Schizosaccharomyces pombe: one gene and its partner. The gene in region 1 interacts genetically with each later gene. Each region holds a gene or a part of one and is shown in the gene's direction. Other genes may lie near its edges. The genes, in order: rtn1 and tts1.

Region 1 (3,691 bases):
ACTTCTATGCAATTCAGTCCAGCGCAATGCAATTCCATACATTTCATTTCAATTCATAATTTCATATACTAGCATACGATGAGATGTCCAATTTATTAAATACGTTTTCTCTTTCTCCCTCCCTTTTCACGAAAAGGCAAGAAAAGCCTTCTTGTTCATCATACGGTATGCTTGCAATTTTTAAGTGGGTGTAAATAAACAGACACACAACGCATAATGAGATGATGAAGAATTTCAATACAAACTGATTTGTACAAAAAAAATTAAATTATAAAAAGAAAATCTATTCAATTCAATTCAATTCGTGAAAAAATAAAAAAAATAAAAAATTCGAAATAAAATTACATTAAATTAATTAACGTAAACTGAAATAAATCAATTACTAAATGTAGAAAAGGTATGGTCTTATTTATTTCATCATATATATATATATATTTTTTTTTGAAATACATTTGCTTTGATTCTTAAGAAATAAATTTTTTGTCAAAAAAATTTCCAAAAAAAAAAAAAAAAAAAAAAAAGGCTTCAGAAGTTTGAATGAATTTTGTTTCTTCAAAGTTTTAATTGATTTCAATTCCTCAAATATTAAATAATTTTTTAAACAACAAATTTCTTCGTGTTTTACTCACTTGTGGATGATTCATCATTTCTCACCGTTACTATTCCTTTCCTTTTTCAATCTTTAATCCTTTCTTTATTCAGTTGTATCCTTTTCCTTTTCATCACTCTTATCCCTTTCTCCTTTACATTTTACAATCAAACTCCATACTTCGCTCTCCTTTCAACAAACTATCCTACACGAATTTATTTATCTATTTCTCACTTTTTTTTCGCCTCTTGTAGCCTTTCCTGCACTTAATCATTGTTTTCCCTTTATTTACTCTTTTTTCAATATCTCTAGCTTTTGCAAAAGTCATCCGTTTTCGCTCGTTCTTTCGTTTTTCATCCATTTTCATTGTTTCTCTATTCATTTCCTTCTTTTTCATACCATTTCACCCATCTTTTCATACCATTTAACCCATCTTTTCCCGCCCATCTTCTTCCTATTCTTCGTTTTTCTTTTACCATCCAAAATTCTCTTTCATTAGCCTGCTGTAAACCGATTATAAGCATGATCGCTATAGTCGCCGCTGACACAGACTTATTGAGCCAAGAACAACGTCATTCCATGATCAACGCTATGACTGCTATCTAACCACCAACCACCGACTTGACTTTTACCATATAAAAGCAAAGCTTTCCAACTAACAACTTTCTAACAGTTTCGTAAGTGAAACATATTGACTTTCCTCTCAACAACTCGTGAAGGTCTCTTTTTGTATTTACCCATTCTACTTTTATTTTTTCTTTCGATCAATATCTCCCTTAAAAGTTAACCCTTTTGGAACTTGGCTTTGGATTTAATACATATACATTTTATTTATCCTACAGCAAAATCCAAAAATCTTTTATTCACTTTTTTAAGTCTTTGTTACAAAGTATTTCGCTCTTCCGAAAAGTCGTCCTTTACTAGCTATTTTCTTTAGTCGGCACTTTTCAGAATTAGTTTTCTTTAAATTTTCTCTATTTTTTACTATATCTTAAAAAAAAAACACTTGCACCCTTTTTTAGTTTAAAAGGTTTCTCTTTTTTTTTAAGGCTTCTTTTGATTCTTAGTAACTGTTTTACCTTAAGTTGTTATTTTAAAATTGAATATAACACGCAAATCATGTCTGAACAACATTCATTAAACCCCTTTGAATCCGGTTCCGTCACTGCTTCCGATGTCGCCGCTGCTAAATCCGGTGCTGAGGACCTTGTAAATACTTTGACTGCTCACACCGTTCACCCTTCCACCGAATTGCCCTCTGCCACTTCATTTCCCTCTGCTCTCCCCAACTCTGAGAATCCCGTTATTCAAAACATCTCTTCTTCCTCTTCCGAGCCCCACCACACCTCTCAATCCACACCTGGCGAGACAAGCAGTCCCGTCTGCCCAGTTTCCGGCGCTCACGGAGGTGCCGACAAAAAATGCCCTGCTTTGGAGGCCGGTTGCCCTTTTACCAACACTACTAAGCAAAACGTCGATCCTGAGATCTCTAATGCTTTGTGGTCTGTGTTGACTTGGAAGAACACCTCTTGCAGTTTCTCTACCTTGATGAGTATTCTTGCTCTCGTTTATGTCCCTTCTTGGATCAATCTTCCTCGCCTCTTTTTCAGAACTTTCCGTTATGTCTTTTTGATTACCTCCATCATTGAATTCGGTGGTCTTTTCGCTTCCAACGGTAAGCGTGGTGTCTTGTCTCACTTCCGTTCCTCCTACATCACCTGCGACTCCAAGGCTCTTGATAGGATTGTCAACTCAATTGTCGACATTTTCAACGTTATGTTGATTCAATTCCAACGTATCTTGTTTGCTGAGAGCCCTATTTTGACCTTTACTGCCTCTGTTGCTGCTTTTATTGAGTTTTTCCTTAGTGGCTTCCTTTCCTACAAGTCTCTCTTTGTTTGGAATGTTTTGTTTGCCTTCATCCTTCCCAGATTGTATGTATGCAATGAGCGCTCTATCAAGCATTTGGTTGCTTCCCTTGAGAGATCTGGTGATAAACTTAAAAAGCAAGCTACTGAGACTATAAACACCACTGTTAACAAGTAAACCTCTGCGGGATAATTTGTTTGATTGTTTCTGTCAGGTTGCGCTTGATTTTTATTTGGTTCGCTTCCTCGTTTATTTTAAGGTTTCAATAGTATCTTTTGCAAAAAAATGCAAGGGTAATAACCATGGTTTTGTTTTCAACTTTGAAAATGTGTTGCTGTGTTGTGTTGCGTTTCAAAAGTGTTGTATTATGACTTGAATTAGGAGATTGAATGCGTTTTCTCAATTATTTTGCTTATGACTATGAGTGTTTATTTTCATAAATACGTCTTTCTCATCTCGATATATTGTAAATGTAACAGGTTCGGCTCAATCTCTCATTTCTCTTCTGAGTTGCAAACTATTGCAGTGTGGTTGAAGTTCTTGTTGCTTTGCTCAATATGATGCTATTTTATTATATTTTCTCTGCTTCGTTTAATACCCAACGTACTTATTATTCGTAATTTAATCTCGTAATTACTCCGTGTTGTTTTGTAGGTCCTCCTCGTATTCCTTATTGCTGCTCTTTTCGAAAAAAAAAATATATATATATATTTTCCATAACTAAAATGGGTCTGTGGACGAAAAAATCTATTTTGTTTAACCAAATGACTAAAGTATTTGTTAACCAAAAATTATTATTTTTTTTCCACTACTTCGTATTTAATACAGCCGATCATACAGTAAAGTGCTGATTACACTCGCATGATCGTTGTCTGCTCTCACCACAAGTCATTCACTTATATCAATGTTGTGCCAGCTTTTTACGTTTAAGCTCAAAATTTCCTTTGTATCCATATATTAGGATTATTGAAATTCAATTTATTGTCAATTTATCATGCCGCAACGCTATTATACATGAGTTCCAAGAAAGTCAAATACAATCCTCGAAAAAGCGCATCTCAAAATGAAGCTACCTCAGCTTCAGCAGGTAGCAAAGCTTTTGGATTTAATTCCGCGAAAAAGGAGAAACTTCATAGAATGGCGCTGTCTATGGAAGCAATTGAAGATGTTGAGGATCAATCGTTCAATGGCAAGTCTTCCAATCTAGTCAGAAAGCGTCGGGGTTTGGATGAA
Region 2 (3,929 bases), 3.1 Mb from region 1:
CTGCACGAGCAACAAAAACTTGGAGTAACCCAACTAAAGATTTTTGGATGATGTCCAACTCATCACGTAGCCAAAGGCGCATATCGGTCGTAACTTGATCGTTGCGACTTCTTCCTGTATGAAGCTTACCAGCAATGCCTGTACCAATTATTTCTCCCAATCTGCGCTCGTTAGCAGTATGGATATCTTCGTCAGAAGGTTGAAGAGTGAATTTATTTGTCTTCCATTCATCTCGGACAGCCTCTAAACCATCTAACATTTTATCCAATTCATCAGCACTAATGATTCCGCGTTGTTCTAATGCCTTAGCATAAGCTTTCGAGCCATCAATGTCGGCATTGAACATGCGCTTGTCATAATGAATAGACTCATTATAAGCTGTCATCAAGGGATCAGTGGCGCCAGTAAATCTACCGCCCCAAAGTTTTTGTGAAGAAGCCATTCAGAATTGTTAAAACAGAGTCAGTTTTTCAAGTTTTCAACCAACGCAAAAAGGAGGTAGTACTACTTAAAATTTAATTTATCTAATCTTTTGAGAGTATGGCTATATGACCGTGTAACCTCTTCCTTATCGCAACCTATTGTTATATCACATTAACGATACGGCGATAGATATGAAATTGATATTATAATCGCTATAATAAGATCTAACGTATTGGAACGTATAAACACTTAATAAATGTTTACATTCCGCTTCGTTATTTCTTTCCTTAAGTTTACAAAAGATATCATATATGGAAGCTTTGGTTGGAATCTTACTGTATAAATGTACTCAACCTGAATGATTTGTTTTGTCTTTCTGATTTATTAACTCAGAGCTACCAAAGAATTTCGCGAGCATTAGCTTAGATTTAAGAAAATTGACTGTTATAAAGATTGAGAATTCTTAAAAGATTTTCTTGTTAGTTGTGATTGTTTTTTCGATTTTTATTAGAACGATATTTATAGATGCCTGAAAACTCATTGGTAGATAAGTATTGTTTTCTCGTTTTTACTAGTGTCTGATCAGACTAAACTGGTTTAAACATTATGATGCATCTTCCGCCCAATTTCTTTTAAGATAGCTAACGAAAATCAATTAAAATAAACATGGACCAACCGAGTTTATGAATCCACCAAATATAGTGGGATTATAAAGAAGAAGAAAATCAACGAAGAATAAAGTGATAACAGTACATGATTTTCCTTTTCCCTCTTTACTTTCGTCTCTTACTGCCTTAAATTATACACTGCATTTCAAATTGTCAACTATATTATTGATTTCTTTTGGCATGAACACATATAGGGCGTATTACTTCGACAGTCTAACATTTACTTATACCAAGCTTCTCAAAATTCGTTTATAGTACTCGTCTTCGCCAACAAATAACTTAACAATTTACGTATGGATATGTTGTTAACAGAACGTCTGGACTCAAAACGGAATCCACAAAGTGTTATCTTCGAGAATACTCTAGAGCCAGTTTAGATCTTGCTAGTTATTTTTAAATAGAAGTTATTGAAGGTTGCCGAGCAATACAAGTGTGATATAGTAATGTTGAATCTGAACCATTTATTGTCCACTAGTAAATGTGCAAGAATTAATCCATTTATTGTTTCCATGTAAAACATAGAACAGATAGCGTAACAAACAACATCGTACTTTAGCATTTCACTTTGAAAAATTTTAGTCAGAGCTTCTTGTACATTGTTATCAAGGGTCGTAAATGAATTATGTTAGCTTTCTGGAGTGTCTGCTAGACTTAAACAATTGGATTTTAGAAAACTAAAGAGTGTAGCCCCTATTTAAATCTATTTAATTGTAATAGCTTGAATGCTACTCAAAGGCGTAAATCCTTTTTTAAGCGCTTATATTCCTGCTAAAAGAATTCTAGTCAAAACGTGTACTAGCGTATTTCACAGAAGTTCCATAGGTTTTCTTTTTCTGATGTAGGAAAATTTAGGATCTTCCATTGGTAAGCGTACATTGTACTCTATCACAACTATTACAACATACTTTTTGCTGGATATTAACTTAACAAAAGCCACATCTTTAAAACTTTGAAAATAACAACTTTGCTATAATGGAGCCAAAACAACGAGTTGTCAAGCCTTTAAAAGAAAGGGTTTTACCTGTTGTCAAGGTAAATATATCTATCATGTGTAAATCAGATAATAAATGTTGATTATAAGAAAAGTTTCTTATTTAGTTCCATAACGTAACTGTAATCTATTACTAAAACATAGACTAATTTGTCAGCATTATTTTATTTTGATTCAGTGTCATATTGTCTTCACTCTTTTAATACATTACTAACCGTTTATTATAGAACACCCAGTTTGTTTGGTTTTCGGGGCAAGTAATAGTGCTAATCTCTTCCGTCTTGTATGCTCTTCAAGCAATCCCTTTTCGTTCCGCTCCTCCATTTTTGTTTAAAAGCGCTGCCTTTGGTGCCATCGTTGCATATGCAATTGTCCTTTACAAAACTTATAGTCCAAACTTGACTTCCCGTGCTTCTTGGAATAAGCATTTCTTTGCCCGTCTTATGCTCGATGACAATGTTCAGTATTTTATTTTAGCTCTTTCAATGTTGATTGATCGTCCCATCCTATTTTCTCTCGCTCCATATGCCATTTACGCCACTTTCCACATCTCCACTTACTTGCGTAGTGTGCTTTTGCCTGCCATTTACCCTAATATTTCTGACGCGAAAACTGCGTCTTATGCTTCTCGTGTTTCTAATTTGCTAAATCAGTACACTCGAAGCCAATTTCAACCTGCTATGCAACTTGTTGCTTCTCTCGAAACATTTTTATTGTTCCGTTTGTTCTTTGGGGTTTTCTTACGTAAAAACTCAATTTCCAGGTTGGTGGGCTATATTTTCTTTCTTCGCATGAGATACACTAATAGTCACTTTACTCGTGCATCCATTAAAGCCGTTAGCCTTCGAATGGATCGTTTGGTTGCAGATAACAGAGTTCCTCCTGTTATCAAAAATGCTTGGCATACATTCAAAACTTATGTGTCCAAGTTCGGTGCTTCACCTGTAGGTACTGCTCAAAGCCGTCCCACTGCATCAAGCTCTACCACTGCTCCCTCATCTACTTAAAGTGATGCCTTATTCCTTTTGATTGCTAGAGATTTATATAAATTTCACCAATCAGTGTGATTTTAATATGTCTAAGTGCTCCTGGTTTTTGAGTTCTTTACTATTAACGAGTAGTTTCTATTTCACCCAAGTAAATTTTGAATGTTCATACCGTTTACCTCTTTCTCTAAAAACTTGTTTGAGATAATTCCGTTTATTTATTTTTGCTCACTACTCCTCTATTTCAGTTATCTTTGTTTGGGGGGTCTCCTCAGACTTTAGTTTAGCTTTTTTCAAGGAAATTGAAATATGGATATATGTTGTTTATCCAAAAACTCTTTGAGTATTAAAAGATTAAGAGGTAAAAATAATACGTTTTATTGAATTTTGTAGCACAATAAACACATGTATAGCAGCGCACTCTTGAAATCTAGCAAGTTATTAGTTTACATTGGATAAAATACCAGTTTCAATTGAATTTATGTGATGTTAATGCGTTTTGTTTCTTAGCATCTGCGCAAAGTAACGTAGCGCTGTGTTATGGTTCACTGGGAAACACCAACAAAGTGCTCGATGTTTTTCTGATTATCGTAATTATTTTGAACGATGTTTGATCAGTTGGAGTTTTATCCTGCTGTCAACTATGAGGATAATGAAACTCAAAATGATATAAAAGTAAGCTTAGATAAATGTTTTTACAAGGGCTTACCCAATTAGCTACCCGAAGTCGCCAAACTTGAAAATATCGAAACAGTGCATTCCATTTCTAAGGAAAGACGCGACTCTTTAACGGAAATTTTAAATGATTCTTCAAGCTTACCGGCACGTCCGTTTTCTCTGCCTAATCCCAATAATTCAACC

The links.
Region 2: of rtn1 (region 1) and tts1, changing one enhances a phenotype caused by changing the other (phenotypic enhancement), as found in Schizosaccharomyces pombe (one study listed by BioGRID).

The regions. Positions count from the first base shown.
Region 1 is NC_003423.3:1,261,622-1,265,312, reverse strand, and holds rtn1 (reticulon Rtn1), read left to right. Parts: upstream 1-1,708; coding exon 1,709-2,635; 3' UTR 2,636-3,015; downstream 3,016-3,691. Other genes in the region: protein dbl7, read left to right, coding at 3,473-3,691. UniProt on the Schizosaccharomyces pombe protein: Required for the correct positioning of the cellular division plane by delimiting the actomyosin ring assembly at the cell equator. Overexpression causes cell lysis.
Region 2 is NC_003423.3:4,366,326-4,370,254, forward strand, and holds tts1 (tetra-spanning protein 1), read left to right. Parts: upstream 1-2,016; 5' UTR 2,017-2,063; coding exon 2,064-2,123; intron 2,124-2,222; exon of another isoform or gene 2,223-2,309; coding exon 2,310-3,089; 3' UTR 3,090-3,491; downstream 3,492-3,929. Other genes in the region: arg41 (argininosuccinate lyase), read right to left, coding at 1-442; COG complex subunit Cog3, read left to right, coding at 3,675-3,743, 3,786-3,929. UniProt on the Schizosaccharomyces pombe protein: Required for the correct positioning of the cellular division plane by delimiting the actomyosin ring assembly at the cell equator.